Linked DNA regions of Astyanax mexicanus. The protein of the gene in region 1 purifies or fractionates together with the protein of each later gene. This does not show direct contact. Links are inferred from orthologs where the notes say so. Each region holds a gene or a part of one and is shown on either strand. Other genes may lie near its edges. The genes, in order: suclg2 and suclg1.

Evidence for each region.
Region 2: the proteins of suclg2 (region 1) and suclg1 fractionate together in Homo sapiens (co-fractionation; 6 studies listed by BioGRID and IntAct, counting the BioPlex papers as one, with this or other methods). This does not show direct contact. The link is inferred for Astyanax mexicanus from reciprocal best matches to the Homo sapiens genes SUCLG2 and SUCLG1.

Annotation. Positions count from the first base shown.
Region 1 is NC_064431.1:27,375,712-27,392,915, forward strand, and holds the start of suclg2 (succinyl-CoA ligase [GDP-forming] subunit beta, mitochondrial), read right to left. Parts: upstream 7,423-17,204; 5' UTR 7,391-7,422; coding exon 7,316-7,390; intron 1-7,315. UniProt on the Homo sapiens protein: GTP-specific succinyl-CoA synthetase functions in the citric acid cycle (TCA), coupling the hydrolysis of succinyl-CoA to the synthesis of GTP and thus represents the only step of substrate-level phosphorylation in the TCA.
Region 2 is NC_064432.1:1,830,246-1,847,160, forward strand, and holds the start of suclg1 (succinate--CoA ligase [ADP/GDP-forming] subunit alpha, mitochondrial), read right to left. Parts: upstream 9,456-16,915; 5' UTR 9,376-9,455; coding exon 9,342-9,375; intron 6,262-9,341; coding exon 6,161-6,261; intron 1,590-6,160; coding exon 1,473-1,589; intron 563-1,472; coding exon 350-562; intron 1-349. Other genes in the region: cisd2 (CDGSH iron-sulfur domain-containing protein 2), read left to right, coding at 11,152-11,254, 13,551-13,765, 14,920-15,009. UniProt on the Homo sapiens protein: Succinyl-CoA synthetase functions in the citric acid cycle (TCA), coupling the hydrolysis of succinyl-CoA to the synthesis of either ATP or GTP and thus represents the only step of substrate-level phosphorylation in the TCA.

The DNA.
Region 1 (17,204 bases):
TTCATACTTTAATCAGTTTTTTTTTTTTTTACGAATATTCAAACATTCGCTACCAATCAGTGCTGAATAAAAACGCTATTCGTATTTTTAAAAAAAAGCTCAAAGAATGCTATTCGAGGCAGCCCTAATTTTTATTACCTACTTTAGCAAACTCCAAGCAAGCAAAGAAACTCCAAGCAAGCAAGCAAACTCCAAGCAAGCAAGCAAACTCCAAGCAAGCAAGCAAACTCCAAGCAAGCAAGCAAACTCCAAGCAAGCAAGCAAACTCCAAGCAAGCAAGCAAACTCCAAGCAAGCAAGCAAACTCCAAGCAAGCAAGCAAACTCCAAGCAAGCAAGCAAACTCCAAGCAAGCAAGCAAACTCCAAGCAAGCAAGCAAACTCCAAGCAAGCAAGCAAACTCCAAGCAAGCAAGCAAACTCCAAGCAAGCAAGCAAACTCCAAGCTTCTAAAAAGTCCCAAGCTTAAGAACCAAGCCCATGTTAAAATCTACTCCACTCTAAAAAAAAAAAAAAAAAAATTCACGCAGCGTTTGGTTTTAATGTAAATTCTTGTGTATTTGTTTTTCTTTTTTTTAAGAAAGGAATCAAATGCAGTAAAATGTAATGTAATAATGGTTTTGTATGTCATTTTGGCACGTATTCTGCAATTCTGCCAACTGCATGCCAACATCACTCACCTATCCCCATCACTATTAAGCATGAGGGTGGTAGCATTGTTCATAGTATCATAGTTTGGGGCTACCTTGCATCCAAAGACCAGGACACATTACATACAGAGTGATGTTGCTTTCTCTATTCTGAAAATGGTTCCTTACAAAATCAAAAGTGATTCATCTATGGCAGGGGTTCTTAATCTGCATCGAAACCATGGATTATTTTGTGCAAACTTACTTGGATAAAATCGTGGATTTATCACCATGCTGTCAGTACCCACAATCACTCCACGAAGCTTCACAAAGTTTACTACAGTACCCCATCACACCATGTCTTTATCAAGATATAAAGTGAAAAAGGGGGGGTGACATGATACGCTGACATGGTCACGTCACAAAATGAACCAGTCAGGCGACCGCACACATGGTTCTGGGAGCAGATAGACAGATAGATACAAGACCTAAGTCCAATGAAAGAGAACTCCAGACTCTCGAATTCACTAGGACCAAAATCACTACACTAGATTGCTACCAAGCAAGTTGACAAACATACGTAGAAAGCTCTCTTCAGGGCACGGAAAATAAGGTTAGACTGAGTTTCATTGTTGCCGGATGTCCAAATTCATAACCTTTTAGCATCAGTCTTATAGTCTTAATCCTAGATAACCGCTCCTACGCTTCCGATAATTTAAGTTTTGAATAATTGCTGCCACTTGCAATGAAGTCCGCAGCTCAAGTCTTTCGTGGGCGGCTTAAAATAACCTGCATTACCCTAAAGACGCTCTCACGCTGCCCCGATCTTACGCAACTCTTAAACAAACCCATTTGGATAAAGACGGGAGCTGTAATGTATGCTGGCACGGTGTAGTTTCTCATTATCAGAGAGCCTTTCTCACACTGACGCCAGGCCAGTCCCCTGCTCCAGCACACTCATCTCATTATACCGAGCAGATGAAAATATATGCCAGCTAAGCACTCGCGCTGCCTCCAAAATGCACTTTTTTTTGTTTGTGTGTGTGTGTGTGTGTGTGTGTGTGTGTGTGTGTGTGTGTAGGCCGAACAGGAGTGGAGTGTTAAAATGGTATAGTCATCACACCAACCTGCTGAACGGGCTTCAGAGCAGCTTTGTGGAATTTCTCTACAAGAGCACAAGAATGGAAACGTGAAAAGAATTATAGAATCTAAGAGTTTGAGCGAGAGATTAGGTGCCAAACGGATGGGAACTTCTATTTTTTAAGTTGTTCACCTGAAAAAACTAAAGAAAATCTAGCAGAACCTTCTTCAAAACCTGCTCCTCATTCAGGTTTAGGAAGAGTTCCATGCCTCAAACAAAAGAAACTCCTTTAGCGCTTTTCCATCAAAAGATTTAATTTTATCAAAGAGATGAAGATGGATGATCAAAAGCCATCAAACCAAGCTGAACTGCTTGATTTTTTGTTTTGCACCAGGAGTGAGTAGCATAAAGTTATCCAAAAGCAGTGTGTAAGACTGGTGGAGGGAGGAGAACATGATGCCAAGATGCATAAAAAACTGTGATTAAAACCAGGGTTATTCCACCAAATATTGATTTCTGAACTCTTAAAACTTTATGAATACGAAACTTTTTTTTCTTTGCATTATTTGAGGTTTGAAAGCTCTGCATCTTTTTTGTTATTTTCTGCAAATAAATGCTTTAAATGACAATATTTTTATTTGGAATGAAGTGGTCTCTTAATTTTTTCCAGAGCTGTATTATTTATTTATTTATTTATTTTGTTTCTTGAAATTTAACAATAAAACTGACAACTGCAATTAATCTGTGAACCCTTGTGGAAAGAAGTTTATAATTATATTTTAGAGATATGTTAACCACTAATTAGGATTAATGGACTTTAAACCGAAATCACAATATTCTGTGGAAAAATCGCAATTAGATATGTTGCCCAAATCGTGCAGCCCTAACTGGGTGTGTGCCCAAGTTTCTGACATTTACCATCAGTGTATAGTCATTCCCCATCCCCAAGCAACCTTAGGTAAATTTATATAGAGCAAATATTATGCTTAACTACCTCCTGTAAAATCAAGCATAGTTTTCTGAGCTGCTAACTCCGTGTTGGCTGTGTGCGCTATACTGTTCACTGTAAATCAGGTGATAAGGGCTGTGAGGTGAGTGTGAGCTAAGATTATACTGTATCAGTATACAGTTAGGTGGCTGTTTAACAGACTTAGCGGTTTCTATTAACAGTTTAATCAGCTCTGTTCTCAGAATGATGAGGTGTGATTAAAGACGCTGTGAGCTTTAGAGCGCTCTCTGATCCATCAACATGAAGGCTGGATTTCACTGATAATGTAAAGATTTGCTCACCTGTGTGAAGCTGCACAGAGTATTGAACATTCTGTATGTTTTTTTTTAGGATTGCAATGCGGCAAATGTTCAATAAGTTTGGACCCAACTCAAATGATAGACTGCATTTTGTCAATATCGTTTAAAATCCAGACTTTTAAACATGGGGGTGGTAGTGTGAAAGGAGAATGTCTGGCCATCTGTTTGTGACCTTAAACTCAGGCGTACTTGGGTTCTGAAGCAGGACAATGACCCAAAGCACACGAGCAAGTCCACCTCAGAATGGCCTAGTCAAAATCAAATCACGATGCTGTACATGATCTTAAACAGACAGTTCATGCTTGAAAAACCTCCAATGTGGGACTCCGAGTGGTCCGGTGAGATCGCCAATTTGAATCCTGTTCATGCAGCTTGCCATCGGCAACCAGAGACCTGAGAGAGCACAACTGCTGTTGCTTTCTCTGGGTGGGTACAGTAGATAGCGCTCTGTCCCCTCATCACTCCAAGGGTGATGTTGATCAGCACAGGGCTGCGTCTGTGAGCTGATGTATTTGAACTATTCCCCACTGCATCAGCAGCAGCAGTTCAAAAAGAGGCAGTGGCTGACTTCACATGTATCAGAGGAGGCATGTGCTAGTCTTTATTCTCCTGGTGTGTTGGGGCATCACTAATGATAGAGGGAGTCTTAATGAGTGGGTTGGGTTGGGTCATGCCTTGTAAATTAGGAAGAAAATGGGAAAAAAATTGGCTCCAATATGACTGAATAAAAACAATTCTCCAAAGAAAAGTAGACCAAAATTCCTCCACAGAGATGTAAAAGACTCCAGTTACCAGTTATCGACAATGCTTGATTGCAATTGTTGCTGCCAAAGGAGGCACAACCAAGTTATTTTACAAGAATAAGGAGGCAAATACTTTTTCCTCTATGGCTAGGTTGGTTTAAATAGATTTTCTTTCCCATAATAAATGAAACTATAATTTAAAAAAGGGCTTTTTATATTTACTCAGGTTTTCTCTTTGTCTGAAATTAAAGTTTGTTTAGCACTGTGTATAGAAGAAGTGAACCTAAACTAAATAAATAAATAAATAAAAAACTTCTCACTCCAGTGCAGCAGGAGTCTCAGAGTCCTGCACTAAATAAGCTGTTGTTTTGTGTGTCAACAGCTCTGGACTATTTAGGGATCATGCTAAGAACAGAAATAGTAGAAATGAAGGCCGATTCAAATTCAACAACCTACATTCCAGCTTATAGAGGTTAGAGAAAGTGTAGGAGTTAGCACTTGGCTTCAGCAAGCTTCCTTTAGCCTAGATAAAACACTTGTTGGAGGGAGGTACTGAACGGCTGATTATGGGAACATATTAAACAAATGTAAAAGTAAAGAGAGATTTTTTGGGCGCTGCCACTATGATTGAGAGATCGCTGGTTCGAATCCCAGTCATGCAGCTTGCCATCGGCTGCCGGAGCCCTAAGAGAGCACAACTGGCCTTGTTCTCTCTGGGTGGGTAGAGTAGATGGCGCTCTTTCCCCTCATCACTACTAGGGTAATGTTGATCAGCACAAGGCTGCATCTGTGAGCTGATGTATCAGCTGATGTATCATATGGTGTCTTGGAAGGTTTTTTTAATCGAAATTGGATCTGAAAATCTAATAGCTTTTCATATTCGATTAATGAGAATGGTTGGATCAGAATGCTATATGTGGCACAGATCTGGTGTTTCCAGAGCAGTGTGAACCCAAAATAAGGATTTCAAATCAGATTTTAGCTATTTTCATGTGTTGCAACGGATCAGATATATATATCTCAAAAGTTACCATGATGTGACCTTAACAAAATTGGGCTTTTCGTAGCAGTGTGAACACAAAGAAACTGGTTCTGCCATATATTTGATTCCAATGAGGCTTGCACTGGACGAATTACTTGCTTTGACATCATATCACCAAGCACTACTTTTAATGTTAAACAGGTGTAACGTATTGCACCAATTGATAGAATACTAGAAAAGTGTGCATATTTCACAAATTTTAAGTCCATTGTGGTGCAACACCTGAAATTCAAGACTATTGCTCAAATTAGGTTATTACAAGGGAAGTGTGCTTGGGGGTGATCTGGGAGGGGGTGGGGAGGGTTGTGTTACTTGTGGACTTCTGGTGTTCTTTGTGCCACAGGCAACAGGTTGACCGAGTGCACTTTGAATACAAGAGATAAAAACAGAACTGCTATTGGCTAACTGCTGCTGCTGACAAAGAAAAAAAGAGGGGTTAAAGTCTATCTACATGGGGGGGGGGGGGGGGGGGGCTCACTAGACCCAATGCCAAGCACGGGCATTGAGGAGAATACTGAAAGAAACAGCTAAATAAACCATATTATAATCCATTAAGAAGAAGACCTGGCAACTCTAAGGGTCTAAAGGTCAAAGTCAAACAACAGAAAGACCCTCAAACCGTTGTCTTCCTTACTTAAGTTAGAATAAAAGTGTAAATTAGATCCTAAAATTGCAGAGAACCCCTTCAGAAACCTTACAATCACTTCTACAGTGAAAGACCCCTAAGCTGCAGTGAGGAGCTAACTAAAGCAAACAGCAAAATATAAACCAAATTATTATCCATGAAGAAGAGCTGAACTTTTGTTTAAGAGTATGAGAAGGATGCAAACTCAATAATCTAAACAAAGAAGCTTTGCACAAGTTTCCAAGTCACACAGCTAGCAACCTTTTCTCCCTCGCTTCTAAACAACAGAAAAAACAATATTATTTCCCATAAAGAGGAGTTGAGAAGATGTCGAAGACTTAAAGAATGTGGTTTTAGATCTTTGCACAAGTTTCCCAATCACCCAGCTGAAAACTCTAATGGTCAAAGTTAAACAGCAGAAGGACTCTCAAACCTTTGTCTCCCTCACTTAACTTAGAAAAAAAGTGTAAATTAGGTCCTAAAACTGCAGAGAACCACATCAGAACCCTTACAAGCACTTCCACAGTGCAGGTTAGAGAAAGTGTAGGAGTTAGCAGTTAGGAGTTTTCCAGTCACACAGCTGGAAACTCTGAGGGTCTAAAGGTCAAAGTCCAGCAACAGAAAGACACTCAAACTTTTGTCTCCCTCACTTAACTTAGAATGAAAGTGTAAATTACATTATAAAACAGCAGAGAAACCCCTCAGAACCCTTACAAGCACTTCCACAGTGGACCTTCTAAGCTGCAGTGAGGAGCTAACTAAAACAAACATAGAATAAAACATATGCATAAAAGAAGAGTTGCGAAGATGTAAAAGAGAAGGTGGTTTTAGAGCTTTGCACAAGTTTTCCAGTCACACCTGGCAACTCTAAGGGTCTAAAGGTCAAAGTCAAACAGCAGAAAGACCCACAAACCTTTAGCTCACTTCTAAATGTACCACAAAGCACATTTCTAGTCCTCCACAGTGGACCTTTAAGATGCAACAAGGAAATTAAGTAAACAGCAGAAAAAACCTTATTATTATCCATAAAGAAGAGTTGATAAGATGTAAAAGACTAAGAGAAGGTGGTTTTAGAGCTTTGCACAAGTTTCCTAATCACATAGCTGTCTAAAAGTCAAAGACAAACAACAGAAAGACCCTAAAACCTTTGTCTTCCTCATTTAAGTTACAAACGTCTAAATTAGGCTCTAAAACTACAGAGAAACCCCTCAGAACCCTCACAAGCACTTCCACAGTGGACCTTCTAAGCTGCAGTGAGGAGCTAACTAAAATAAACACAGAATAAACCATATTATTATCCATAAAAAGACTAAGAGAAGGCGTTTTAGAGCTTTGCACAAGTTTCCCAGTCACACCTGGCAACTCTGAGGGTCTAAAGGTCAAAGTCAAACAGCAGAAAGACCCCCCAAACCTTTGTTTCACTACTAAATGGACCCCAAAACACCTTTCTAGTTCTCCACAGTGGACCTTCAGGATGCAACGAGGAAATTAAGTAAACAGCAGAACAAAAACAATATTATTATCCACAAAGAAGAGTTGAGAAGGTGGTTTTAGGGCTTTGCACAAGTTTTCCAATCACATAGCTGGAAACTCTGAGGGTCTAAAGGTCAAAGTCAAACAGCAGAGTGACCCCCAGACCCCCAGCTTCCTCACCAAACACCCCTAAATCTCAGGGTTACCTTAGAACCCCCCAAACCCCCACATGCCCCCTGTCCTTCTCCACAGTGGAGCTGCAGAGCAGAGGGGAGATAAACAGTAAACAGCAGACTGACCGCTCTCTCAGCCCCGGATACACAGCGCGCTGCGGGGAGGGGGCTCGCGGGGTGATGTGTACTGAGGGTCTGCGCTGTGTGCGCGAGCCGGTGTGTGGTCGTGTGTGTGTTTTGGTACCTGTCTCGTGCGCAGTAACCGGCCCGCGCGCTCAGCTCCGCTCTGCACCGCTCTCCACATCATGCACGCCGCCATGTTCAGCCGGAAGTGAGCGCGGTGTCCACGTGCGCGCGGAGAGCCACGCTCGCGGACGGGGCTCGTGACGTCACCGCAGAAACTTCACTCTCTGCACTCGGAGAACTTATTTTTTATTTTTTTATATATTATTTTTATAATTGTTTCAGCTATTTAGCCCATTAAATTACTATGTATCTATATATTTATCTACATATTTTATTTATTTATTCATTTATTTATTTTTAGTCCTTTCAGGATTATTTAAGCTACTTGTACTATTAAAATAAAAAGTTCAGCAGTATTCATATATTATTTATATACAAATATTATGTATCTATATATTTAATTTATTCATATTTAATTAATTAATTTATTTTTACAGAATTATTTCAGCTATTAATCCCATTGAAGTAATAAGGTCAGTCCTGTTTATCTATTATTTATTTATTTATTTATTTATATATATATGTTTATACTCTTTCGTTTTAGGATTATTTCATTTATTTATCCTATTAAACTAATAAGATCAGTACTATTTATTTATTTATTTATTTATTCATTTGTTTAATTTTAGAATTTTTCAGCTATTTATCCCATAAAAATAGCTATTTTCAGCTATTTTATTTTTAATGCAAATATGCTTACGTTGCAATATGCATTTCAAATATGACTTATCTCACAGCAAATGCAATTCCTTTATAGCTGACCCATGTTTGTTTCATTTTTTGAAGTGTATGTGACTATCTATATGAAAACATATTTTTCAATGTTCCAGTAACATATCAAAATATATTCAAACATGCATATGTGTAAAACATATTTAACGATATATGATAAAAAAACACCTGTATGATTTTGCAAAATATATTATACATTAAAATATATGCCCAATCCTTTAAGATACATGCAAACATGTATATATCACATATCAGATTTCTGTAAGGGGTTGCATAAAGATATTGTCATTTTGTAATGTTGTTTACTTTTGAGACTTTTGTAACCCTAAATCTGAATTAATTGTTAAATAATGCCAGTCAGTATAAAGAAGCACTTTACTGTGGCGTGTTCCAGATTCTACCATAAATTATCATCTGGTCTCTTCTGGAAGTCTCAGATATGTCCTTTCTGTCAGGTTTTATGAGTTTATGAGACAGATTGGTGCCATGTGGCTCAAAAATAAACCTGATCTAAAATTCAGTTCCTCCACTATTGAGATGTGATGATTCTCTGCACACGCAGAAAATGAGGCCTCTGGTGAGTCAGGAATGAGGGTGAGGAGGTGACCGTGCTGCATATGTATCAGGTGGAGGAGCAAATAGGACATTCATTAAAGGAAGAAAACACGGACGCTGGCTTAGGAACGACTGGGGACCCCAATTTATACCTCCCTGAACCGGCCGGCCCAAACATCCAGTGATTATTACCTTCCTCTGCCTGCTATTCAGGAAAGGACAGGCTCTCGAGAAGCACTTCTACTGGATAGAGATAGTAACAAGCACCCAATCTGTGCCAACAGGCCCTGAATATGACCCCAGAGCAGCGGAGGAAACGAATACAGTGTGCAGAAACGTTGTTAGCTCTTCTTTATATCATTCATTTCTCTTGATAGAGTTACAGGATGCTGTCAGCCAGCGCTGCCTGCCTGTCAGACATGATACGGAGCATTTCCTCATGAAGAATGTTCCTATTTCCCTCGAGAAGAACATGATCAAAACATGATTTCCATACAGACAAAAGCAGCACGTTCGTGATATATTGCCTGGAGTTTCCATTATTGTGTCCTCCCTGCTGTAAGCATATGCATGAAGCATAAAGCATAAGGCAGCGCGTCTGTGTGAGTTTTATATAACACAGCATTGATGACGCCCATGAATAACACTGACCTCCTGTCTCAGTGTTGACCCTCGGTGTGGTGGTGGGAGTGTGTTGAGCTTTGAGCTCCACTGAGCAAGTAAATAACCTATTTACTCCTCCCCCTCTCTCGCACGCGCGCTCTCTTTCTGTCTCTCTCAGTATCTCTCTGTCTCTTGCGCACTCTCTTTCTGTTTTTCTCTCTCTCTCTCTCTCTCTCTCTCTCTCTCTCTCTATTTCCAGATAGCTGGACAGACAGACATGTGGATTGATAAGTGAATATAAAGACCGACTGATGGTCACATAGCTCAAAAGATGGTAGGACTAATGGACATGGTTGAACAGACAGACATGTTTGGGCAGACAGACAGACAGACAGATGTTTGGACAGACAGAAGATTGGACAGATAAATAGACATAAAGACAACTGGACAGACAAACAGATCAATAACTATAGATAACTATATATATGGAGGGACCATGAATTGGACAGAATTGTTGAAAAGACTGTTGGTCACAAAGTTTTTGGATTAACAGACATGTTTGGACAGACAGACCTGGTTGGACAGATGACTATACAGACATTGGACAGATGATTGGACAGCCAGACAATTAAACAGACAAACAGACAGATAGATGAAGATATAGACAGAGGGACAGGGAATTGGACAGACAGATGGTTGGATAAAATGTTGGTCACATACTTCGAAAGATGGTTGTACAAACAGACATGGTTGGAAAGACAAACATGGTTGGACCGATGCTTGGACAGAGAGAGGGTTGGATAGTTAAATACATATGCAGACAATTGGACAGACACACAGAGAGATAGATGAGGATATAGCCAGATGGACTGGGAATTGGACAAACAAATGGTTGAATAGACTGTTGGTCACATAGCTTGAAAGTTTGTTGGACTAACAGACGTGTTTGGACAGACAGACATGGTTGGACAATTGAACAGACAAACAGACAGAGAAATTAAAATATAGATGGAGGGACTGAGAATATGACAGACAGATGGTTGGTAAGACTGTTGGACACATAGCTTTAAAGATGGTTGGATTAATGGACATGGTTACACAGACAGACATGTTTGGACGGACAGACGGACAGACAGACAAATAGGTAAATAGTAAATAGGTTATTTACTTGCTCAGTGGAGCTCAAAGCTCAACACACTCCCACCACCACACCGAGGGTCAACACTGAGACAGGAGGTCAGTGTTATTCATGGGCGTCATCAATGCTGTGTTATATAAAACTCACACAGACGCGCTGGCTTATGCTTTATGCTTCATGCATATGCTTACAGCGGGGAGGACACAATAATGGAAACTCCAGGCAATATATCACAAACTGAGAAGCCGCTACTGAGGTCATAAAACACAATGATTATAACAAACAAATGAACAAAGAGAGAGACGGAGAGAAATGAATAATATCAGCAGAATTACAGGCAGTGTGAATATCTCTCTCCCTCTCCTTCTCTCTCTCTTTATTTCTCTGTTTCTCTCTCTCTCTCTCTCTATCTATCTCTAGCTGTCTTGCTCCCACTTTGCATTTAAAATTTTTACAACAGCAAATGTGCAGATATGCCCAGTTTTCTTTCATTCCTTCATGTATATTCTGTTTTTTTTTTTTTTGGTCTGGGCCTAAACTCTCCTGCCTTCACGCTCTCGCACCCGGCACTTTTAATAGGCCGGAGATCCATATTTCATTAAACTGAATATTTGATTCATATGGAATGCATTCATCTTGTGAGTTGTCATTCATGGACTCATGGATTCATGGTTCTATTCTGTTCTGTTCTGTTGACTAGTAGGGATGGGAATTGATAAGATTTTTCCGATTCCGATTCCCTTATCGATTCTGTGAAACGATTCGATTCCTTATCGATTCTCTTATCGATTCCAATTTGGGGAAAAAAGGAGAGTAAACAGTTTCATAAGCACCAACTTTGTTTACTTAAATATCATACGACCTTACAAACTCAACAACAAGGTCAACATGTCCACAACAATGTTCAACTGGCAATATGGAAATGTAGCAAATACTCTCTAATAATGTTGTGTGCGCAGATGTTTGTGCATATTTGATGTATTCCCTCCCGGCGATGTTATCAAAAATTTACAATGGTTGCAAAACGCCCTGTTGCCATCCTTATGTAGCGTGAAATGAAGGCAAACTTTCGAGCGTTTTAACCTAGTGGACGCCATTGAAAAGACGTGCTTACTGAATCATGCGTAACTTGCGTGATCGTGCTGTCTGGAATCGATAAGAGAATCATTAAGCAAGGTGCCAAACGATTCCGTGGAATCAAAACACATGGAATCGATTCTCAACAGGAATCGATTCTCGATTCCCAAGCCTATTGACTAGTTTTATCTTTCAGCTGGGGCGTTGCAGTATGATAATGAGGCCAGGAGTGAGGTAGGCACTCGCAGATACAGTACTTTACATAAAGGCAGAGGGCAAGGCAAAAGAGTAGTTAAAAAATACAAAAAGGAGTCGGTGACATGAAAAAAACGAGATCTAGCAAGATCTACCAAAGAAACAAAGGAAACGGGGGGGGGGGGGGGGTATTCATACAAGGCAGTCCAGGTGTAAGCAATCAGAAGCTCGGCGAGTGGGAACGCCATAGTGTCACGTGATCAGCAGAGTCAGAGAGGTCCGGTGAGTGAGCATGCTGGGAATTAGAGTCTTTATTGTGAAGTTCAGCTTTTTTAAATGTTTTTTTTTTATTTCCTTTCACATTTATCATTTTTTATTCCATTTGTTTCCACAAACTTGAATAATCGTTTTTAATCTACTCAGTCTATAGTTTAATAAAACACTTTACATCAAACCTGCATAAAAAATAATCTCTCTGGGGGTCTCATGGGACCCTCACTCCTATCCTTGACCCCTCAGCAAGTTTGCAAAGACTTGTTATTCATTGGTCAATATGATGTAACAGTGACCAACAGAGAGAGAAAGATCTTTTTGCCGTAGAAGTAACGAGGGGAAAGAGCGTCATCTACCCACCCAGATAGACCAAAGCCAATTGTGCTCTCTCAGGGCTCTGGCAGCTGATGGCAAGCTGCATGACCGTGATTCAAAACAGCGATCCAACCAGGACCACTCGGCACAACTCAGATTGTCCTCACTGTTCCAATACTTTTGGAGGGGGGTGTAGTCACATAAATAGAGAGAAAAGGAGAGAAAATGAGAGAGAAAAAGAAAGAAAGAGAGAGAAAGAAAGACAGGACACTTCTTACTGTCTTTTCCACCTAACCCCACTCTCTTCTGCTCTCTTTATCTCTCTCTCTTTTATTGATTGACTAAGAGGACTCTATTCCTGTCTTCTGTAACCCACATAACCCGCGAACACTCTCCTGAAGCTTGTCGTAAATGGGCCTATTTAATTTCTGCGTATTCCGCCGCTGCAATTCGCTGCTTTCAGAAGAATGAGGGAGGCGTGGCGCGCTCCATCTGCGCAGGCTTTTCTCCAGGCTATTGCTCTGCACTGATTTTTCATTTTCATGGCACATTCCATGCTACTGTAGAACTGTGTGGGGCTACATGAATACCTCTGGAGGTGCGGCAGGCCTGATATATTCACTTCAGGAAAAACGACGACTTTGCAGTTTAGATTTACAAAACATTGTAAGCAGTTTTACACAAAGGATCAGCCTGCAAAGTGATTAGAAGACAAGTTGCTAAGTGGTTGCTAAGGGGTTGCTATGGTGTATTTCCTGGTTGCAGAGGTGTTCAGTGGTTTGTTAATGTGTTACTATCTGTGCAATAGATTTTGCGTAACAGCTATGTATTTGGATATGCTTATGCATGAGTGGTGGTTGGTGTATTGGTTGTGTAGTGGATAACACGACTACCTCCCAGTGAGCTATCACATCATGTGGAAGACTGGGGTTCAATTCCTGGTCTGGGTTACTGGATGCTGCACTACACCAATAAGAATCCATGGGCAAGACTCCTACTGTAACACTACATCGGTCCATATCTGTAAAAGAAATAGAAATAAGTCACTTTGGATAAAAATCTGAGGTAAATGCCATGAAAACGTAATGTAAAATGTATGCTATTTATATTTGACATGCCCACAATCAATTAATACATAATGTTTCTTTAACTAAATGAATGTACCTATATATCAATGCTGGTCTGTCTGGCCAAATATCTTTAAAAACCTATAGATTAGATCATGAAATACAACCTGAATTTATATTTAAAACTATACCATCAGTATCATTAGAGTAAAAGTGGGTTATGTTGGAAGTCAGAACTAAAGCCATAATAGTCCTGGAGCTTTTGGTCCTTGTTTCAGCCAGTGATTCACATTATTTATTTATCTTTTTTGCTTCACCTTTTCAGAATATTCATTATCTAGCCCAAGGCATCCGGAAAGCAAAGTCCTGCAGGCGATGTATCCTGTAGAAACAAGCGTTCTTTCGTCACCCTCTAGTTTATTGGTTCTGAGAAGACACTCTCTTCTTCCTTTCTTCTATTTTTTTATCCTTTTTTAATTAAAGGAAATCGCTAATGAGAGACCTTAATGTACTTTTCCGCATTGACGCATTGACACCACATTTCCTATATATACTGTACATGGCTTTTGGACTTGGTGAATGATAACAGTCTTGATGGTCCATTTTTTTTTCTTTGGTCTAGAGCACATGGCATCTTTTCTTCCAAAAAAGATCTAAAATACTAATGATTTGTCTAACAATAATACACATTTCTATGGTGTGATCATCCATTCCAGATGCGTCAAAGCTAAGAGTGTGTGATTCTGAAGTAGAGCATGATCTCCACCCTTCAGAAACTGGGCTACATGGTGGTTTTCCAACATAATAAAGACTCCAAGCACACCACCAAGATAATAAATGCCAAGTATGGACCCTAATCTACTGCCAAATTGAGCCCCTGTGGTGCATCCTCATAAGTAAGGTGGAGGAGAGCAATGTGTCCAACATCCACCAGGTCCTTGCTGCGACTTGGTTCCTATACATTAGCCTATAGATGCCTCATACTGATCGACATCACCCTCAAACTAATGAGGGGAAAGAGCGCCATTCATCTACAGAGAGAGAGAGCAAGGCCAATTGTGCTCTCGTAGGACTGCTCTCCGGCAGCTGATGGCAAGCTGCATGACTGGGATTCAAACCAGCGATCACTTTAGACCGCTGGACCACAAATTACACCAAATTTGAAGCTAAAACAACCCTTAACAATCATTCAAACTAATTTCTTCACATCCTAATCACACAGCAACCATCTTTCATTGTACTGTAGACCATTACTGGAGTCTCAAATCCACTGAGCATGCTCCAGCTGATCCATAAGAAGCCAAACACTATAGAAGAAGGTCTTCTGAAGTTCTATACACAGCCCACGGTCTTCTGTAGGACCCTCGGAGTGATCTAGAGTAAACTCCACAACACAAGTGCAACAGCGGCAGCTCCCTAACTGATATAAAACAGATCACCTGCTGTTCCACCCCCCCTTTACTACGCCGTCTGTCGTAGAGAGAGAGAGAAAGACAAAGCTTAGATGTGTATATGAAAGATCCATGGAGCCGGTCTTCATTTCAAACCACTGATAGCATGCAGAGCCATCTTCGTCTGCAGCGAGGAGTGGGTCACCCTTTCAGAATTCTACTTATACTAGCCCTCGCCAATGAATCTCTTTCTCTCTATCTCTCTCTCTGTGTTTCTCAATCTCTCTCTTTCTCTCTCTCTCTCTCTCTCTCTTTGTCTGTTTTTTTTTTCAATGACCCCTCCAAAGAGGTTGGTGTGCGTTTCATCCTGCACCCACTGCTGGGCACAATTCAGGTCGGAATAATCTGAGGTAAAAAGAAATGGGAGAAGGATACGTAGTGGAGAAATATAAAATATTCTATTGTTGCTATTGACCATAACTTAGCAAATCAATAAATAGGCTGATTAACATGGCGGTAGATAATTAGCCCAATGTGTTCAGCCTTGGAAGTTCAACCTCGATAACCTGGGAATCTGGAATATGGGATCCTTGGAACATGGGATTATGGGAATGTAGGACCCTAGAATACTAGGGAATATAGGAAATATAGGAAATAAGAATATAGGACCCTTCAAGAATAAGACTGGAAACATAAGACTTTGGGAACAAAAGACTCTGGAAATGTGAGATGTTTGGAATCAAGACCCTTGGAACATAAGAACCTGGTCATACTGGGAACAATGGACTCAGGAAACAAAGAACATTAGAACTTAGAACTACATGTATGGGAGCGGGAACATAGGACCCTAGAAAATAGAACCTTGGAAAGTGGAAGGGTATTAGACCCTGATAAAGGAAACTGAGTACATAGGATCTTGGAAACATACAATCTTTGGGACCTAGGACCATGGGTACATTGAACCATTGGCTTATAGAACCTTGGGAACACATTTGGAAACACAGGGCACTGAAAACATAAAATATTCAAAGAACCCAGGAAGTGTCTTGATGACCTAGGACCCAAAAATATATAGAGCAGTGAGAATGTAGGACCTTGGGAGTGCAAGACCATTGAATCAAAGCACCCTAGTCATATAGAACATTAGGAACTTTTATTATTGTAGAACCATGGGAACATCAGACCCTGGAACAGAACCTTGGGAACATTGAGAACCATTGGAATATAGGAAAGTGGGAATGTTGGACCCTTTAAAACATTCAAAGTCCCTGGAAACATCAGATAAAAAAGACCCTGGGTATATAGGTCTTTTGGGATGGAAGTCACTGGGAATATAGAACCCTTAAAATATAAAAAATATATAAAATGTAAAATATTACAGTTAAAAAATTGATCTTGGCAAATTGGAAATATGGGACCATAGGAACTTAGGACCCTGAAAATATAAGGCTTTGGAGACAGGATGTTTAAAACATATGACTCTAAAATTAAAGAAACTTGGGAACAAGAGTGGAAGGACCTAAATACAAATAGCAAGATAGACAAAATCTCTTTCTGAGAGAGAGAGAGAGAGAGAGAGAGAGAAAAAGAGAACGAGGGATAGAGAGAGAGAGAAAGAGAGAGAGAAAGAGAGAGAGTGATAATCAGTCAGACTAAATGTATTTCTGAAGGCAGACGAGTCTCCTTGAGAAGTGAAGAGTGATTTTCAGAAGCAGTTGCTGAAGCTCTAATGTCTGAAAGGCACTTTTACTCTTTCCTGTTTTTTTTTTCTTCTTCTCAAACAAAAGTGTCATTCACCTTGTTTAAATGGAGGGAAGCCTGGCTGAACAGCAGACTGAGAAAATAATCACTGAACGCCCAGAGAATGCGGAAAATGTGCGACTGAGGATGAACTGATGGACAGTTTTGGTCTTTGTGTGGTCCTTAAGTGATGTAATAAACTTCATTTCTGTTCTAACTGCTCTGGAAACTGACAACTTTATGGGGGAAGCAGAACATTTGGACGCAAGACGATGAACATTTAAAGTTTAAAGGTGCTGTATATGATTCTAGAGAACAACAGTTGATGTTTGAACTCAACAGCAAAACCAACAAACCTTAAAATGTATTGCTCTTTCCCAAGATCTGCCCTCCATTTCAACATGTGGAGGTCTTTACACCGACATAACAAATTCTTGATGTTTACAAGTGTATTCGGACTTACCTAAAGAACAAACTTTTTCCTTTTGTAATTGAGATCTTTTCCTTTTTATTTTTTTTTTGTATTTTTATTCTATTTCTCAATTACCTTAGATGTCTACCTTTTTAATAGTGTATGTCGTTTAATAAATAACTTGTGGAAGATAACATACAGATTTAGTAATTAAGAGATTCTAAATCAGTTTCTCTGATTTTGCTATTTAAAGGTTTATGTTTGAGTAAAATTAATATTGTGGTTTTATTCTATTAACTACGGACAACATTTCTCCCAAATTCCAAATAATAATATTGTAATTTAGACCATTTATTTGCAGAAAATGAGAAATGACTGAAATAACAACA
Region 2 (16,915 bases), on another chromosome or scaffold:
GGTTTAGACAGCACATTTATCTTTGAGGACAGATCTCAGTGTCTTCATGAGGAAGAGTCACAGACAATTTAATTATCTTCTAAACATATGATGATGAGATATATGATAAGGTGTATAATCATATATATATATTTTTTTTTCTATTTTTTCCCCTCATTTTCTCCCCAATATACATGGTCAATGAACCCGCGATCTCCTGATCATAGTGGCAGTGTATGTGTATGAATTATTCTCTACCATGTGCAGTACATATTTCAGCAGGACAGGCCTGTGGACACTGGATGCATATCAGTGTATATAAAAGCACAGTGTTGTGGTCTTAACATCGATTAATCCTGATCAAACTTACGTTAATGACGCCGGGGCAGTTGGGCCCGATGAGACGGGTGATGCCCTGGCGGAGCAGCCTGTGTTTGACGCGCACCATGTCCTGCTGGGGGATGCCCTCCGTGATGCAGACCACCAGGGGGATCTCTGCGTCGATGGCCTCTATGATGGCGGCTGCCGCGAACGGCGGAGGGACGTAAATCACGCTGGCCTCTGCTCCCGTTCCTGCTTTAGCCTGCGAGCAAACAGAGGAATGTAAAGATAAGAGTCTGAGTAGAAGAATGATTCACAATTAAATCAGTCTGCATGGGGCTTTCACTTTGAAATAATGAATACAGGAAATGGAGGGGAGAATTAGATTTTTTTTATGGAATTAAAGTTCATGTAATTCAATAAAGAACAGAACACAACATACATTAACATATATAAGGATAAGAAATAGAGGGAACACTTACAAAAATAATAGACCCACGGATTTGCAAATATTTACAGATTTTGCAGCCTTTCTATTTGTCGATCCATGTATAGTTTGCATTTACATTTTGATTTAATTTTTAAAGACCATGAACAATGGGATACTCTTTTTAACATAACATTTATTAATATAAAATTTAGCTAACATTAAAATTAGATTATTAATATAATAGTGATCTATCTTATGTTTAACATCATTAAAACCAACTAAGACATGTTCCATGTACAATGAAAAGCTTAATATTAATAGATATTAAAGATCTTTTTTGAATTTGAACTCAGCGATTATTACTATTCTAGTCCTGTACAGCTCATATCCTTTACACAAAACAGCTGCAGCTTCACATAAAGCCTTTTATATTTAGGTTTTGAACCTGTCTGATCCAAATTTTTTGGCCACTTGAATCATACCACTCGGTTTGACCAGACAGATCTGGTTCTGAATGTTTTTCAGGGGGGTCTTGATATGAGAATACTTTTCAAACTACTATGAAAAACCCCTGAACAACATAGGTGATGACTGGACATAAAATCAAACAGAACACACCTTTATTCACAATAAAATATTGTTTATATTGTCTTTGAGATTTAATGTAGCCTTACCATGAAAAATTACAGCAAATTAGTAAGACACGTGCACTCAGGCCCAAATGGAGAAAGCAGGTCATTACCTCCTTCACTGAGTTGAAGACGGGCAGGCCCAGGTGGGTCTTTCCCCCTTTCCCAGGAGAAACTCCTCCAACTAACCTAGAGCCATAGTCCAGAGACTGCTGACTGTGGAAGGTGCCCTGAAAACAGAGAGAGAGAGAAAGAGAGAGAGAAATAAATAATCAAATAAATAAAGCTTTAATTTATTATATTATTGTTATTATTATTATGTTATTATTTTTTTTCCTGTACCCTTTATATAATATAAATATTATATATATATTTTTGATGTTGTTCATAAAGCTGTTTAAATGTTTTAATAGTGTTCAGCAGATTTCATGTTTATTATGTATTTATTTTTGGTTATACATCTGTTTTCCTTAGAGACAGAGAGACAGAGACAGAGACAGAGAGAGAGACAGAGAGAGAGACAGAGACACAGATAGACTTAAGTGTCTGTCAGCAGAAGGAGTGGGTCATTTCAGAAGTTCACACATGTAAAGTTCAGTGGGTGACCTTCTGGGATCGTCTTACACACAGAAAGACCCCCCCCCCCACCACTTCCCCGTTCACCAGCTATCAGATACACACAAATAAAGCCAGGCGAAAATGTCCTTAAGACTCCGGAGTAAACAACTGGGGATGGAATTCTCTCTGATTTGATTCCTTTATTAAACAAATCAATGCATCATGACATTTAATTTACTCTGATATAAAGTGTTCTATCACAATGCTTTATTATACTTTTATGGATCTGTTATTATCAATATCTGAACAGCAAATGGTTGCTCTGCATACTTTATTATTTTTAAACACTGTTTTTTACTCACTGTCCACTCTATCGATAGGGGTATGATATATCGTATCGTACACAATAATATACCACCAACATTTTTTTATATCATGAACAATAATATACCCTGAATATTGTAAAATATTTTTACTGTTTTTTTTAGCAACAGACAAATTCATACTGTTCTCATTTCCCATTATATATCTACTAGATATATAATTATTATTTTATTTTAATCCTGGATATATGGAGATATTTGGAGTGCATTACTATTATTAGTATCATGACGAGATTCTGGATCATTGACTATTACTGTTACAAATCTTATACATTTCTTGCATTTTTTTTAATATATAGGGGTGTGACATATATTTAACCCCTTAACGCCTGTTGTTGCAAATTGGCGACTAACCGTTTGATTCAATCAACCTGCCAAGATAGCGCCTGCATTCCCCCAATGCCTGTTAGTGCATATTCGCCACGGACCTAGGAACCTTTGACAATTTACAATTCAAATGAATCTAGAATTCAAATTAATGAAATGTTTCCTGTAATATTTGTGTATATTGTGTTGGTGACAGTAATTGGTGTTATTTATTATTGAATGCCTGCTGTTGGGTGCATAAATAAAACATTGATTTTTCACTGTTATATTACTCTGTTATTGTTATCTTAGTATGGACCATTATGTCTGCTGTAGCAAATTTGCAACATACCAAATTTACCCCAAATAGACCATATTGCCTGTTGTTGCAAATTTGCAACATACCAAAATTTCTATTTATTTTTGTGCAAAAGTGAAATTAATAATCTCAACAATATTTACTATCTACTTAAAGGTAAAACACACATGAAACATTTTTTCATATACAGCTACATTAATTCAGGCGTTAAGGGGTTAATATATATATTTAATAGGGGTGTGACATATCATAATGCATGCAATTATAAAAACTATTATTTTATTTTTTTTGTTGCATTGTTTGTATTGTATTCTTGAAATACACTATTTTTTTCTAATTCAGTGTTTTGTCATATTATTGCAATAATTACATCAAATGCCCCTGCATGTAGATAAAGTAAAGTCAGAGACAGAAGCTCTGAATCTTTTGCTGCAAGTCTGTGTTGGTCAACCTTCAGTTCTTCAGTTTCTGGTTGGTGGTCTACTGCCAGCAGTGACAATGAGGTGTTTAAAAACTCCAGCAGCACTGCTGTATCTGATCAAATTGTACTAGAACAACAAACATAAAATAGCTGCTCTGTGGTATTTGTCTCCCCTGTGGGGTCCTGACTATTGAAGAACAGGGTGAAATAAGGATAATAAAAGTATACAGAGAAACTGAGATACAGGACTACAGTCTGTAATTATTATGGAACTACAAACTGTCCAATACGCTCAGTAGAAAAACTCTTTCAGATCTTCTGTGCAGACTGGACTGGACTCTTCTGCCCTTCTGATTGGATTATGCTGACTGAGTTATATTGAGATCTAACAACTTGGAAACCTTTACCCTGCTATCTGATCCTTCACTGCATCTTAGTTAATGATTACTAATGATGTTACAACATCACAGATAAACCCGCAGCACCTCGTTCATCTGCAGCAATGGATATCTATTGCTTTTAAAGCTACAGCTTCAATTAAACATCTTTATAAAGCGAGGGGAAAAATGATCCAGCCGTTTTCCCGTCATTCTCTTCCAATTTTTCCCACCATCGCAACAACCTCCTGCCAACTTTCCTCTCATCGCTTTCCCTGCCTCCCTCATTTAGGTCGGCCGTTTTCCCGTTAACGACGGTGCTGCGAGTTTGAAGTATGGTTTGCTTATCAAGGCGCTGAGCAAAGTCAACGTGCCTCAATGACATCCCAGCCGTTCCTCATCTTCCTTCTAATTATTATGAGTGCTCATTAGAACTTCATCTAATAGCCCTTTATTATGTTAAGGAGTCGTCGAGACGAGCGAGAGAAGGGCAGAAGAGAAGGAGGGAGGACATTTATTTATTTTAAAAGGTCGAGGGGTGTAGGGAAGGTTTGGACACGGCGGCCAAAAATAGCACATGCACTAGGGGTGTCACGATTTCGATATTTCATCGAAATCGATCGAAATTATGTCATGGTTTCGAGCATCGAAGTCAAAAAGAGGATCGACGATCCCTCCCTCTAAGCTACGCAAATAGTGCAGCACACTGTAGCTCAAAGAGCAGCTCTTTCTCCAGAGAGTGTGGACATTCTCATCTTCTTAAAGAAAAACTTAAAATATAAATATAAATAACAGTTGTTTTTGTCTAGCCTCAAATATGTTAATAGTTTTGGTTTATGGTCTTTCTCCCCCAAAAAAGTGTCCACAACAGACAACCGAATACATTTGTACTCAATTAATATCTGTACTTTCCATGTTTAAACATCTGTTTTTTTTTACGTCTTTTATATCTTGTGTTCAGCTGATTTTATTGTTTTAAAGGTTGAGCACATGGCAGACATAATTGTTGATTAATCAGCTAATCGAAAAAAAATATTCATCAGATTAGTCGACTAATAAAATAATCATTAGTTGTAGCCCCAATATTTAATCATTTCTTACTGTGCTAGATCTAATCAGAATTTACTCGCAAAAATGAGACACATTTGTGCTCCTGGAGTTACTAGCACCCGTAACCGTATTTAGGATTCATACACTTTTTAACCAATACATTTCCATAATTTTTTTTTAATGACTTTTCCGCATCTCCAAAATCCAATAAAACTATAATCGATAGTAAAATTAATCTAACACACTTTTTTTTATAATAAAACCTGTCAGATTCTGAGAGCTACATTGTGTAAAGGCTAAATTACTGTATTAACTCTGAGCTGATGTATTTGTATTTGATGTATTTGTAGCTCAAAATATTTTTTCTTCATCGATAAACTGAAACACAGATTTGTAGATCAAATTTCCATGACTTTTCCAAAACTTTTGGGTATTTTTATTTTTCCAAAACTTATCCAGGCCTGGAAATTGCCATTTTTAAATTTCATTCGTTTTTTTTTTTTTTTTTTTCGGTTTTTCATGACCGTATGAACCCTGCATATTGGCCAGGGAACTGAATCAAATACTTGATATGGAAAAATAAATTGGCATATTGATCCTAAAGTAAATCTGGGAGCTTCTTGCTCCTGTGCGTCCTTTGTACTCGCCAAAGTCAGACGCCAATTAGCTTGATGTAAACTTAGCATGACACCGCTAAATGCTGGCTAAATGCTTTCAGCTCAAGTTTTCCTAGGTAAAACCTGTGCTTGTGAAATCTGGAATCTAGGGGTGTGCCATATCGTATCGTACGCGATAACATTTTCAATATCGTGTACGATATTATACTCTGAAATATGGTGCCATATCACCCACCCCTAATTATTATCACATCAGGATACTACTTTTTTTGCTGTCTTTAGCAAAAAAACAAACAAAAAAAAAACAACAGAGACAGATGATATCTGTCCAGTATCATTTATTTTACTTTGATCCTGGATATATAGAGATATGTAGAGCGCATTGTTAGTATCATGACTGCTACAAATTAACGTTACTGATAAAATTCTTGTATTTTATGAAATCTCAGTTAAGGGTGCCATATCATATTGTAAGAAAATTTAATGTTCATTTTGGTGCAGTAGTGTATTCTTAAAATAATTTTTTTATTCATTTTTTTTTTTGTCATATCGCCAAGTATATCGTTATCGCAAAAATACCATGAAATATCATGATATTATTTTAGGGTCGTATCGCCCACCCCTACGGGAATCTACACATTCTCAGTAAGACTGCAAGAACTGCATTATTTTGCACGTGATTGCTCGCCCATACGATATTAAAAATGCATTAAAAAAGGTAATCTAACTAGTTATTTTTTTTAAGCAACTGTGGATGATGAACCACCAACCTGCTTTCCTGTGAAGCCCTGGCAGATGACCTTAGTGTCCTTGGTGATGTAGAGATGCTTCCTGTTTCCGGTATAACAGTGTCGGACCCCAGCCTGCTGCACTGGAATCAAACAGAACACAGGAGGAGAGGAATTAGAACCAGAGATAAAAATAAAAACACTCCTATCTTACCTGAGAGACCCACAGCAGGATAAAGGCCGACCTGTATCTCAGTGATAACGCTTCAATCAGCTGAGTGAGAGTTATTAAAGCAGGGGTCAGCAGCAGCAGCAGCGGCGGCTCTCAGTACAGCCAGGGTCTTAATAATGCAGTTTAATACATCAACAATGGAAAGTTCTTATCACGCTGAGGTGTGAAAAATTATTCATGAGGAAAAACAAGCAGGAGAAAAAAGGAGAACTGGTGGTGGAGCTGATGAGTGGGTTTTAAAACAAGGCCTGACGAGAGAATACGCAGCGATAAGTGAGCTATACATGGAGTAACAGCACCAACATGTGTTCATGGTGTGGCACCTCACTTCATACATTAATAATGATAAAACCTCAGGAAATAATGAAGGATAGGGATATCCTACACTGTTCCTTTTACTTAAATATTATATATTTATTTTATTTAACAAATAAAATCAATATATAGATATCCTATTTTTTTATGTTATTAATTTTTTTTTCATGTTTTATAACATGAATCCATTGATAGATAAAGAAAAGACAGAGATAAAGCAATAATAAAACTACATAAATAAACTCAGGGAACACACAGGAAGAATATGAAATAATTTAATTTTTTTTTTTTTTTTTTTTTTACTCCAAATGTATTTTTTCTCACAATCAATTTTTTTAAGTTTGTTTCTGCTGCATATACATATATATATATATATTTTAATAGAATAGAATACAAAATATATCTGCCACTTCTTCTTAATTTTGTGCAATATTATGAAATTGCAATTACAAAACTATACAGGGGTCTTTTAACTTAAAATGAAAAATACAGGAAGTGGGGACAAGAGGAGAGAAAACGAAAAATTAAAACTAATTTTAATAGACAGATTTTACATTTAGATGCATCAAAATAAAAATTAATTTTTAATAGAAAATTAAATGAAAAAAAAAATCTTAAAAACCCTTCAATAAAAAAATTATGAAAAATTAATTTTAACTTAAAATTAATATTAAACAAGCGAGCCCATAATAAGATTAGGTCACCTTCTCCACACACTAATAATACGATTTTGGTTTATTTTATGTGGATAATAACAACTAGACTAAAGGTCTAGTTATGGTTAACCTGGTCAAATAAGGGTCCAGTAACCTACATTCATGCAAACAACAGCAGGACCAGCAGTTCCCCTTTATAAGCAATGGGAAGTTAGCCAATATAGATATTTCAGGTTAGTGGACATTCCAGCAGAGGAGCCAAAATTGCACAATTCAGGACTAGCTATGTTAATAACGCTGTCCTTCTGCACTGCTTACTGCTCACCAGACCAAAAAATATAGGAATAGAGCCCTAAAAACCATGTGGATTTGATTCCAAGGGATGAACCTTTGAGCCAGACCCAGCTCCAGCAGCTCTTATAGCTTGACTGACCCTAAACTTTGACCCCGGCTGTCTAAACTAAGATTTATAAATAGAGAAGAAATGTACTCAAGCAGAGCCTTGCGGCAATGTAGCAATGTAGTTCATTTAAACTAGATGCTAATGTGAAAAGACAGTTTATGTCATTTTATATCTTGACATTTAGGAAACATCAGATTTTTGACCTACAGAAAAAAACACATTAGTAGCTGCAGACTATTAAATACTATTCTGTACTTATTACAGTGTTTTTTATTCAAAACCTGCAGCACTTTATGCAGTTAAAGACGAGTATTTACACTCTCTGTAATGAAATGCTCAGAAAAGTATCACAATAACGTTTATCACAGTATGATAAAAGTAGTCAATTGCCCTGCAGCAACACTGGACCATGTTTAACATATAATTTTAATCCCAGTTTCCTCAGCTCTTTAAAAAAAAAAAAAAGAGTGAAAAAGCATTATCATGCTCCTGTATCATCTTTAAAGCAGTGTCATAATATTGTCATACAATTCCATTAATATAATGCATCATACTTATACCTAGAATAATATAATGTCCAAAAATATATATTTATGTGACCCATATCAAAGCTATACCTTAAGATCAGTGGTTTTTTTTTTCATTATTTTAAATGTTCTGCAATGTGGATTAATTCTAAATTCATCCAAGCTGTGAAGATCACACATATGGAACTATTAAGAAAAGAAAAAAAACAAACAAACCTGAAGTAGTTGGCAAACTAAACTTTAGTATAAAAAAAAATAATTACGAAAAGAAAACCTGCATTGTACCAGCACAGAAATGATGGGTTGTTATGGAAGTTAGACTTTTCTGTGCTTTTCTTTTTCTCTCTTTCTTTCTTTTCTACGTAATTTACTTTATTATTATTATTAAACAGCAGAAGCTCCAGTAGAAGGCAGGTATGGGAGTGCTAAATTGTATACACCTAAATTATAATATGGACAAATAAAACCCGGATTGATTTAAAAGTATAACCCAGATTATAAATATTAATGCGGATTAAACAGTGAGTGTGAACATTGCTGGTGTAAAGCGGAGTAACAGTTGCAGTTCTGAGTTGAAGTGCAGCAGGTTTGTTTAGGGTTATTTCTAGGGTTAAGTTCAGCAGGTTTGTTTAGGGTTAATGATTTTGAAGAACAAACTGGATTATTAGTATTAAGGCGGATTAAACAGAGAGTGTGAACACTGCTGGTGTAAAGCGGAGTAACAGTTGCAGTTCTGAGCTGAAGTGCAGCAGGTTTGTTTAGGGTTATTTCTAGGGTTAAGTTCAGTAGGTTAGTTTAGGGTTAATGATTTTGAAGAACAAACTGGATTACTAGTATTAAGGCGGATTAAACAGAGAGTGTGAACATTGCTTGTGTAAAGCGGAGTAACAGTTGCAGTTCTAAGCTGAAGTGCAGCAGGTTAGTTTAGGGTTATATCTCTCAGAGAGCGGCCCGGCCTACTTCAACCTCTGCAGCTGTACAGCCGCTCACCGCCCGCTCGACAGCTCCCCCAGCCCCGCAGCCCGCTCTACCCCGCACATACCCCCGCTATAAACCCCGCACAGCGCCGTGTTACTGTAAAAATACTCACAGAGCAGCCGGCCGAACAGTCTACCGCTCGCCATCTTCGGTCATTCACCAATGACACGGGGAGAGACGTCACACGCCGCGGAGCCTCATATCCGCCTGACCCGAGCCGAATACACCTAGAAACCCCGAGATTCACACCAAAAAACCCCGCAGAAAATCACACACAGCACTGTAAACACTTATACTGGGCTTTATAAAAATATATAAACTGTAAATAATGAAAAATAAATGAAATATTCCCATACAGGCGGTCTGCTCTGGTCCTGCAGCGCCGGGAATGCTGGGTAATGTAGTTTTACATGATACTGATGCAAATTCAAAGCCCCCACTGCAGTAAACCGCAGTCTGAAATAATAATAATAATAATATTAATAATAATAATAATAATAATAATAATAATAATAATAATAATAATAATAATAATAATAATAATAATAATAATAATAATAATTAATATATCTCAATTTTCCTTGATTTTTTATTTGTTTATACTGGTACTGTCATTCCCTCTTTATTCCCTGCATCATACCTATATACTCTTATATTGCCTTGTGTCTCTTGTCTCACGTATGTAAGTTATATATATATATATATCTGTGACATTTTGGTATTGTACATTTATTGTCTCTTATTTATAATATATATTTATAATGTTGTACTTGTTGTAACTTTGGCAGGGAAAGCAACACATTTTAATCCTCCATTTGTCCTGTACATATGCAGTATTGACAATAAAACTACTTGACTTGACTTAACTTGACTAAATATTGAGGAAAACACAACACTTAATATTAATTTATGTTTTTGACATTCTGAAAAAGTTATTTTTTTCTTTGTACAATATTTTTATTGTACAGAGCTAGAGCTACTGACTAGAGCTAGAGCTGCACTACGGAATTAAGTCACTTTAGTAGGTAAAATTAGGTGTAGAGGCAAGAAATTAAAGTAATCAACGCTTGACTGACTAGTCACAGCTGTTAACTGAAAGCCATTCTAGGTGACTACCTTATAAAGCAGACTGAGAGAATCCAGCCAAGAAGTGCCTACTTTAAAGCTTTCTTTAAAGAATCTAAAATATAAAACTTATATTGTACATATCTTTATTTTGGATAATAATAAACAAATTAGAACTAAATTAATAAATAAATATTTTTGGCATAAATAAATTCTTTTTTTTTTTTTTACCGTTAACCCCATTTATTTACGCCAAAAATTATTTATTTATTTATGTATTTTAATTTGAAAAAAAAAGAATGTATATATATATATATACATATTTTTTTTTTTCGTTTTTTACCATTAACCCCATATCATTTATTTATGCCAAAAATGATTTATTCACTAATTTATTTTAATTTGTTCATTATTTTTATCACACCAAAAACAATATCAATATGAGTTTGGAAAATTACACGCACTAAAAAGTATTAAAAACACAAATTAAATAAAATAAGGAGAATAAATATACAAAACAAGTGTATCATTATTCTTGTATTAATTTAATTTAATTATATAAATGTATCATTTAAAAAAAAGACCTTAGTATTGAAAAACTGTGCAGGTGTGGGCGGGGAGTACCGCTAACCTTAGCCAATAGGAAAACACCAGCTCTGCGGACGCTGATTGGCTGGCAGTGTTGTTGCTCCGCCTCCTCCGCTTGCGCTTATTCACCATCACTCTGTACGGCAGCGGCTCCGCAGGCCGCTTACTGACGCTACGCAGAAAAACTCCGCAGCTCGACGTCAGGTCCTCCAGGCTCAGGGAAACAGCTCGCTGGGTGCGAATGAAAAAGCGCCCAGAAAGAGTTCAAGATGGTGCTGGAGACTATTTCCAAAATCATTAAAGTGCAGCTGCCTGCCTACCTGAAGAAGCTGCCGCTGCCCGAGACAATCGGCGGATTCACCAGACTCACAGGTAACGTTACCGCCTGGCCTGGAGAGAGACAGAGAGATGAGGAGGGGGGGGGGGCATTCTATTATATACAGTAAATAAAGTTTTAGAGCTGCAGGGTTAAAATTGAGGCTTTAAAAAGTGTAAAAAAAGAGTTTAACAAGTGTTTTACTCCTTTTTCTACTATTCAGGAGTGTAACGTTTAATTTTACACTCATTTTAGACTCATTTTTGGGAAGATATGTTGCACACAGTGAAATATTTATCATCTAGCTTAGTAGTAAAGTTATGCAGCATGAAAAGTGCACCAGATCTAAACATATCCAAAGTTCAGTGATTTTATCTTCAAATAACAGTAAAAATCAACCTTTAAGTTTACTTTTCTAAGAGTTAAGAGCCAGCACACGTGCTACAAACCACACATCCACTGATTCATAGCTGATTAATACCAGATATTCACTGATGCAGTGTCTGTTAGCTTAGTTTTACACACATCTTCAGGTTGGAGGAGGTGTTTTTTTTTTTTTTTTTCATTATTTTAACTGAAATGAGCCAGTGGTTACTGTTAGGTGTTGGTCAGGCCAGAACATAATTAAAAATATCACAATTTCACAGTAACGTTATAAATTTTGGTACATTTCAGGGGTGGTCACTTCTGAAAATTTGATCTTCAATTTGATCATTTTTAGTCATATATTGTTTTAAATACAGGTAATAGATTATCAACAAGTTTGATTCGTCAAGCTCAGGTACAAAACAGTTTTTTTAAATTAGATTATGCAATATATTTGGTAACTTTGGTAACAGTAACAGGGTTGCGAGTAACAGGGTTGCAAATCTAGGCTAAGTTGTGGTTTAACCCTGGAACAGATGCTACCTGAGCTTATTTTTCCACCAAATTTTACAGTTTGTCTTATAACAAGTACATTTTTTCTCAAAAAATAGTCATTTCAATATTTTGGATATGTACATTTGAAGTTGAAGTAGTGGGACAGGAAATGTACCACAATATATTTTTTTTTTTTGCATACAATATGATAGGACAAACCCCTAGTCTACAGGATGGTGCTTTCTTCATCAAAACAGTCTGACTGTCTGTGTTTACGTCTCTAAAATGACTGTGTTAAACTGCTACCACACCCCCGTCAGGCAGGTCCTGTCGCGCGACTGTCGCAGTGCTGAGGTCGGCACGCCTACACCTATATATGCAGTATGTAATAGAGTGCGGGGAGAGGTAATACTGCAGAATGCAGGCTGCACCCCTCCCTCAGGTGATCATGCAGTTGCCTGTGTTTAGTCAGGGAGGCTGAGGAGAGTGTATAGGCGTAATTGTAGCCGGGAATGTGAAGCCATATTTATTCTGCAGCAGACCCGCCCGCCGCTGCTTTTTTTAAAAGTCACTTCAGGCATATTTTACCTCAGTTTCAACCCATGACCCAGTCAAAACCATCACCATCACCACTGAATGAAATCTTTAGTACAGACTTAATTTAACAATTAAAAATGATTCCCACTCCATTGAGCTTATAGGATTTGTCTGGGATCGCACTCTGTGATCATAACTCTTTGAAGTGAGCGTGTAATGTAATGTAATCAGCTTAGGATTGTTTAATTAAGCATATAGCCTACTTTTCTCTTGCTCAGATTAACTCTGATTATTACTGTGAGAATCAACCTGTACTCAGTCTGTTCTTTTGGCGAAGTGCAATGCTTATACGCCATTTATTAATTGCATGGTCTGCGGTGTGACTGTCGCACATGTGTACACTGCAATATTAAAGCTAAAACTACAACTCTGGAAAAAAAATAAGAGAACACTTAAAAATTACAAGAGGAAGATGGATGGTCACAAGCCATCAAACCAAACTGAACTGCTTTAATTTTTGCACCAGGAGTAAAGCAGCATAAAGTTATCCAAAAGCAGTGTGTAAGACTGGTGGAGGAGGAGAACATGATGCCAAGATGCATGAAAAAAAAAACTGTGATTACAGTGTTAGGGTTATTCCACCAAATATTGATATCTGAACTCTTAAAACTTTATGAATATGAACTTGTTTTTTTCTTTGCATTATTTGAGGTCTGAAAGCTCTCACATTACTATCCTAGTCCTGTACAGCTATCAGATGGAAAACAGCTGACCCATTGGTGATATCCAGCATTTTAAGTAATCGTGAATGCTTTATTTTGTTTTAATGCTTTATTTTATTGCGAGAGTAGAGTTTAAAAATGAATTTAATTAATTTATGAGAAACGTTGCTTCCAAAAAGTGGTTAAAGACACTAGATATTAACTAGATATTCTCCTTGTTGTTTGTGTTCAGTTTCAGAGTGGCTGCGTCTCCTGCCTTTGCTGGGAATTCTGGCCCTGCTGGGCTATCTGACCATCCGGCCCTTCCTCCCGAAGAAGAAGAAGCAGAGAGACTGCCTCATCAATCTGAAGATCCAAAAAGAGAACCCCAAAGTGGTTAACGAGATCGACATAGAAGACTTACGAAGCCCCAACGTCTGCTACTGCAGGTGTTGGCGCTCCAAAACGGTAAGAAGTGGAGACAGGGAAAACGGTATGGAGAGTGAACTAAAGGATTTGTGTCTGTGCTTCCTTAGCAACCAGTCATGGACAGAATTTGGTTTAAAGGCAATTTAAACAAAAAAAAAAAGGGAAGGTACAGAACTTGCACAAAAGCCTTTTTAGGATTTTTGAATGTGTTTTCAAGAAGCTTGAAAGCCAGACAGATCCAAAGGAAACTTGAATCCCAGTAGAAGTTGCATAACTTTTACCAAGAGGTTTCTAGGATTTTTACCTTAAATACATCATTAATCATGATTATCGCAGTATTCTATATTGAAAGCAGTCAGTTTTGCATTTGCTTATGGATATTTTTGTAGAATTGTTTGTTTTTGCAGTTTAGATGGTAGATATAATACAAGATATAATTGCATTATGTTGACCACACTATTCTTGTTTTTTATTAATTATTTATCGAATCTTAATAAATCACTGTTATTTATACAAACATGTTTTACAGATGGTTTTGTTTCTACTCAATTACCTTGAAATATTGTAAAATTATTTCAGGGCAATTTCACACACCCCTAACATACAGACAGATTGATTATCCTAGGTTTAATGATATGAACTGTAAATATTAATTCAGAAAAATCATTTGCACTTTTGAAAAAAAGTCCATCCTTTCCTACAGTCAGTCATTTTAAATGTGCATTAAGTTTTCTTTTTGTTGCACACTAACCACCCACAATAAACCACATTCAGACATGTTTCTACAAGTTTTACAAGTTGAACCAGAGCCGAACCACCTCAGAGCAAAAGCGAAACAATGACACAGGATTAGCCAATGTCACGACCTAAAAATGACTGCTTAACCACGCTTTAATAACAGTTTACTCCTTGAAAAAGTCAGAATTTGCATCCGTCTAGGAGAGGAAGTTGGATGTGACTGGAAGTCATCTATTGACACTCTTGATGTGTTTTGCATATCTGCACATGGCAACAAGGGGTTTTGGCTTCCTCTTTTCAGTATAGCATAAAAAAACGGCTGTGTCAAAGCCTGTGGTGTGAGGTTGTGTGTGAGGTTGTGTTACTGTGTGGGGGGGGGGGGGGGGGGTTGTAGTTTGGCCAAAAAAAAATGAAACTTGTCATTAATGCATCGCTGCATTCATTTCCTGTTGCAGTTTCCTGTTTGTGATAAATCACATATAAAGCACAACGAGTTGACCGGGGACAACGTGGGGCCGCTCATACTGAAGAAGAAGATTCTATAATCTGCTTTTTTTACGGCCACGAGGTGCGGACAGCAGAGCAGGCACTCTCACTTCCCTTCAAGATAAGCCACCAGTATCTGTTTCTCATCATTAAAATACAGTACAGATCTTCACGCTTCTTCAGTCATCCTCTAAAGGCTGCGTTCACACTGCAGGTAAAATCCAAATTCAGATCAGATTGGATTTGGGCCATCATCAGATTTACCTGCCGTGTGAATCTACTAATCTAATTGTCTGGATCCTACAATGATTGATTTTTGCTTTTTAAAGACATTGCCACATTAGTGCATTAGTGTGTCTCATCTGTCCGTATGCTGTGAAGAGTGGGACTGATCTCACAGACCACCCTGTTGTTTTTTTGTACTTTAAAGTGGTTTATTCAGTCTGCCTTAAATTAAGTGCAATATAACTGGACTAGGGATGCATCGAATATTTGGCAACCGAAATTATGTGGCAAAACGGCAAAAAAAGAAAAAATGCACTTTCGGTTTTCAGCTGAAACAAACGAGTAATTCATACTGAGAGATTTAAATTTGAGAGAGTAATTACTCAATCAAATTGCATCCAGTGTGGACTGAGGTGCTTTTTTTTTTTTTTTTTTTTTTTTTATAAGTGCAGATTAAAAAAACAAAAGTCACAAAACAAAAAAAATAATCGATATTGGGCTTTTAGATAAATGTTTGATAAACATTTATTATTTCAGAGCATCCCTAAACTGGACCACAAACATTATACACAAACTACACACATTTCTATGCTGTTTTATTGGCTGTATCTGTTTTTTTTTAAAGGAATACTCATTCAGCATTTTAAATTAAAAAAAAAAACAATCCATATCTACTGTATGTGTGCAGTGCTATTACTTTTGGCTAGACGTGACTTTGCCTTAAAATGAAAGTTTTCTGATGGTGTGGGCGTGTCGAATGGTGGTGTACGCAATCGAGTGGGCGTGTCAAAACTTTTCTGCCGAAAAGGATAAAATATACTTATAATAATCACAAATTCACCAATTTTTACCCGATTTTCACACGGTTTGATTTGTTAAAAACAGGAGAGATGAAGTAATGATTCAGGACGAAAGGTGGTCGTCTAGACCAATAGACGACCACCTTTCGACACGCCCACACCTTTCGACACGCCCACACCTTTCGACACGCCCCCAAGCAGTCTCACATTCACTAGGCAGGAACGCTAAATTCAGATCTATTCCAAGCTCACAAAAATGCATTAAAATAACTCCATGTTGTCCATGTTGGTGAACAGTATGATACAGACGCAGTATGTAGAAATGTTTTTCTGAGTTAAAATGCTGAATTATTCCTTTATTGAAGCTACAGTTTCAGTGTATTCAGTCAGCTAGGTCATGGCTAACACAATCAATTCCACAGAAGCCATTTAAAGCCACACTCTTACATTTTCCGGTTTTACGTCATCGAGATAATGTCTCCTTTGTCCTTTGTTTGTTTTTTGTTTTGTTTGTTTTTTGTTTTTCTTGGTCATGAGATATGAGTTCAATTATTTATGGAGTGTCTGATGCTGGGTCTCTATCCTCATTCTTATATACAGTACTATCTTCATTAAAGTTTTTTGTTTGATTATGGATTATGGATAAAATCTGTACAGATGACTCTAATCAGGTGTCCCAGTGCTGTATGATGCTGTTATCTCTGCGCTGGTTTTGGAATCCAAACACAGTAAACCGTTAATAATTCATTAATAAGCCAACACGGTCCAAGCGAATGTTTTTAGATCTGATCAGTTCATCATTTTACTACACTTTTCTACCACTTTAGTACAAACTACAATCTACTTTACACTCACTTCTCCAGAAACACCTGACCTGTACCTCCTATATGTAGGTGTACATGTTTATTTTTATTTTTATTTTTATTTTTTATATATATAT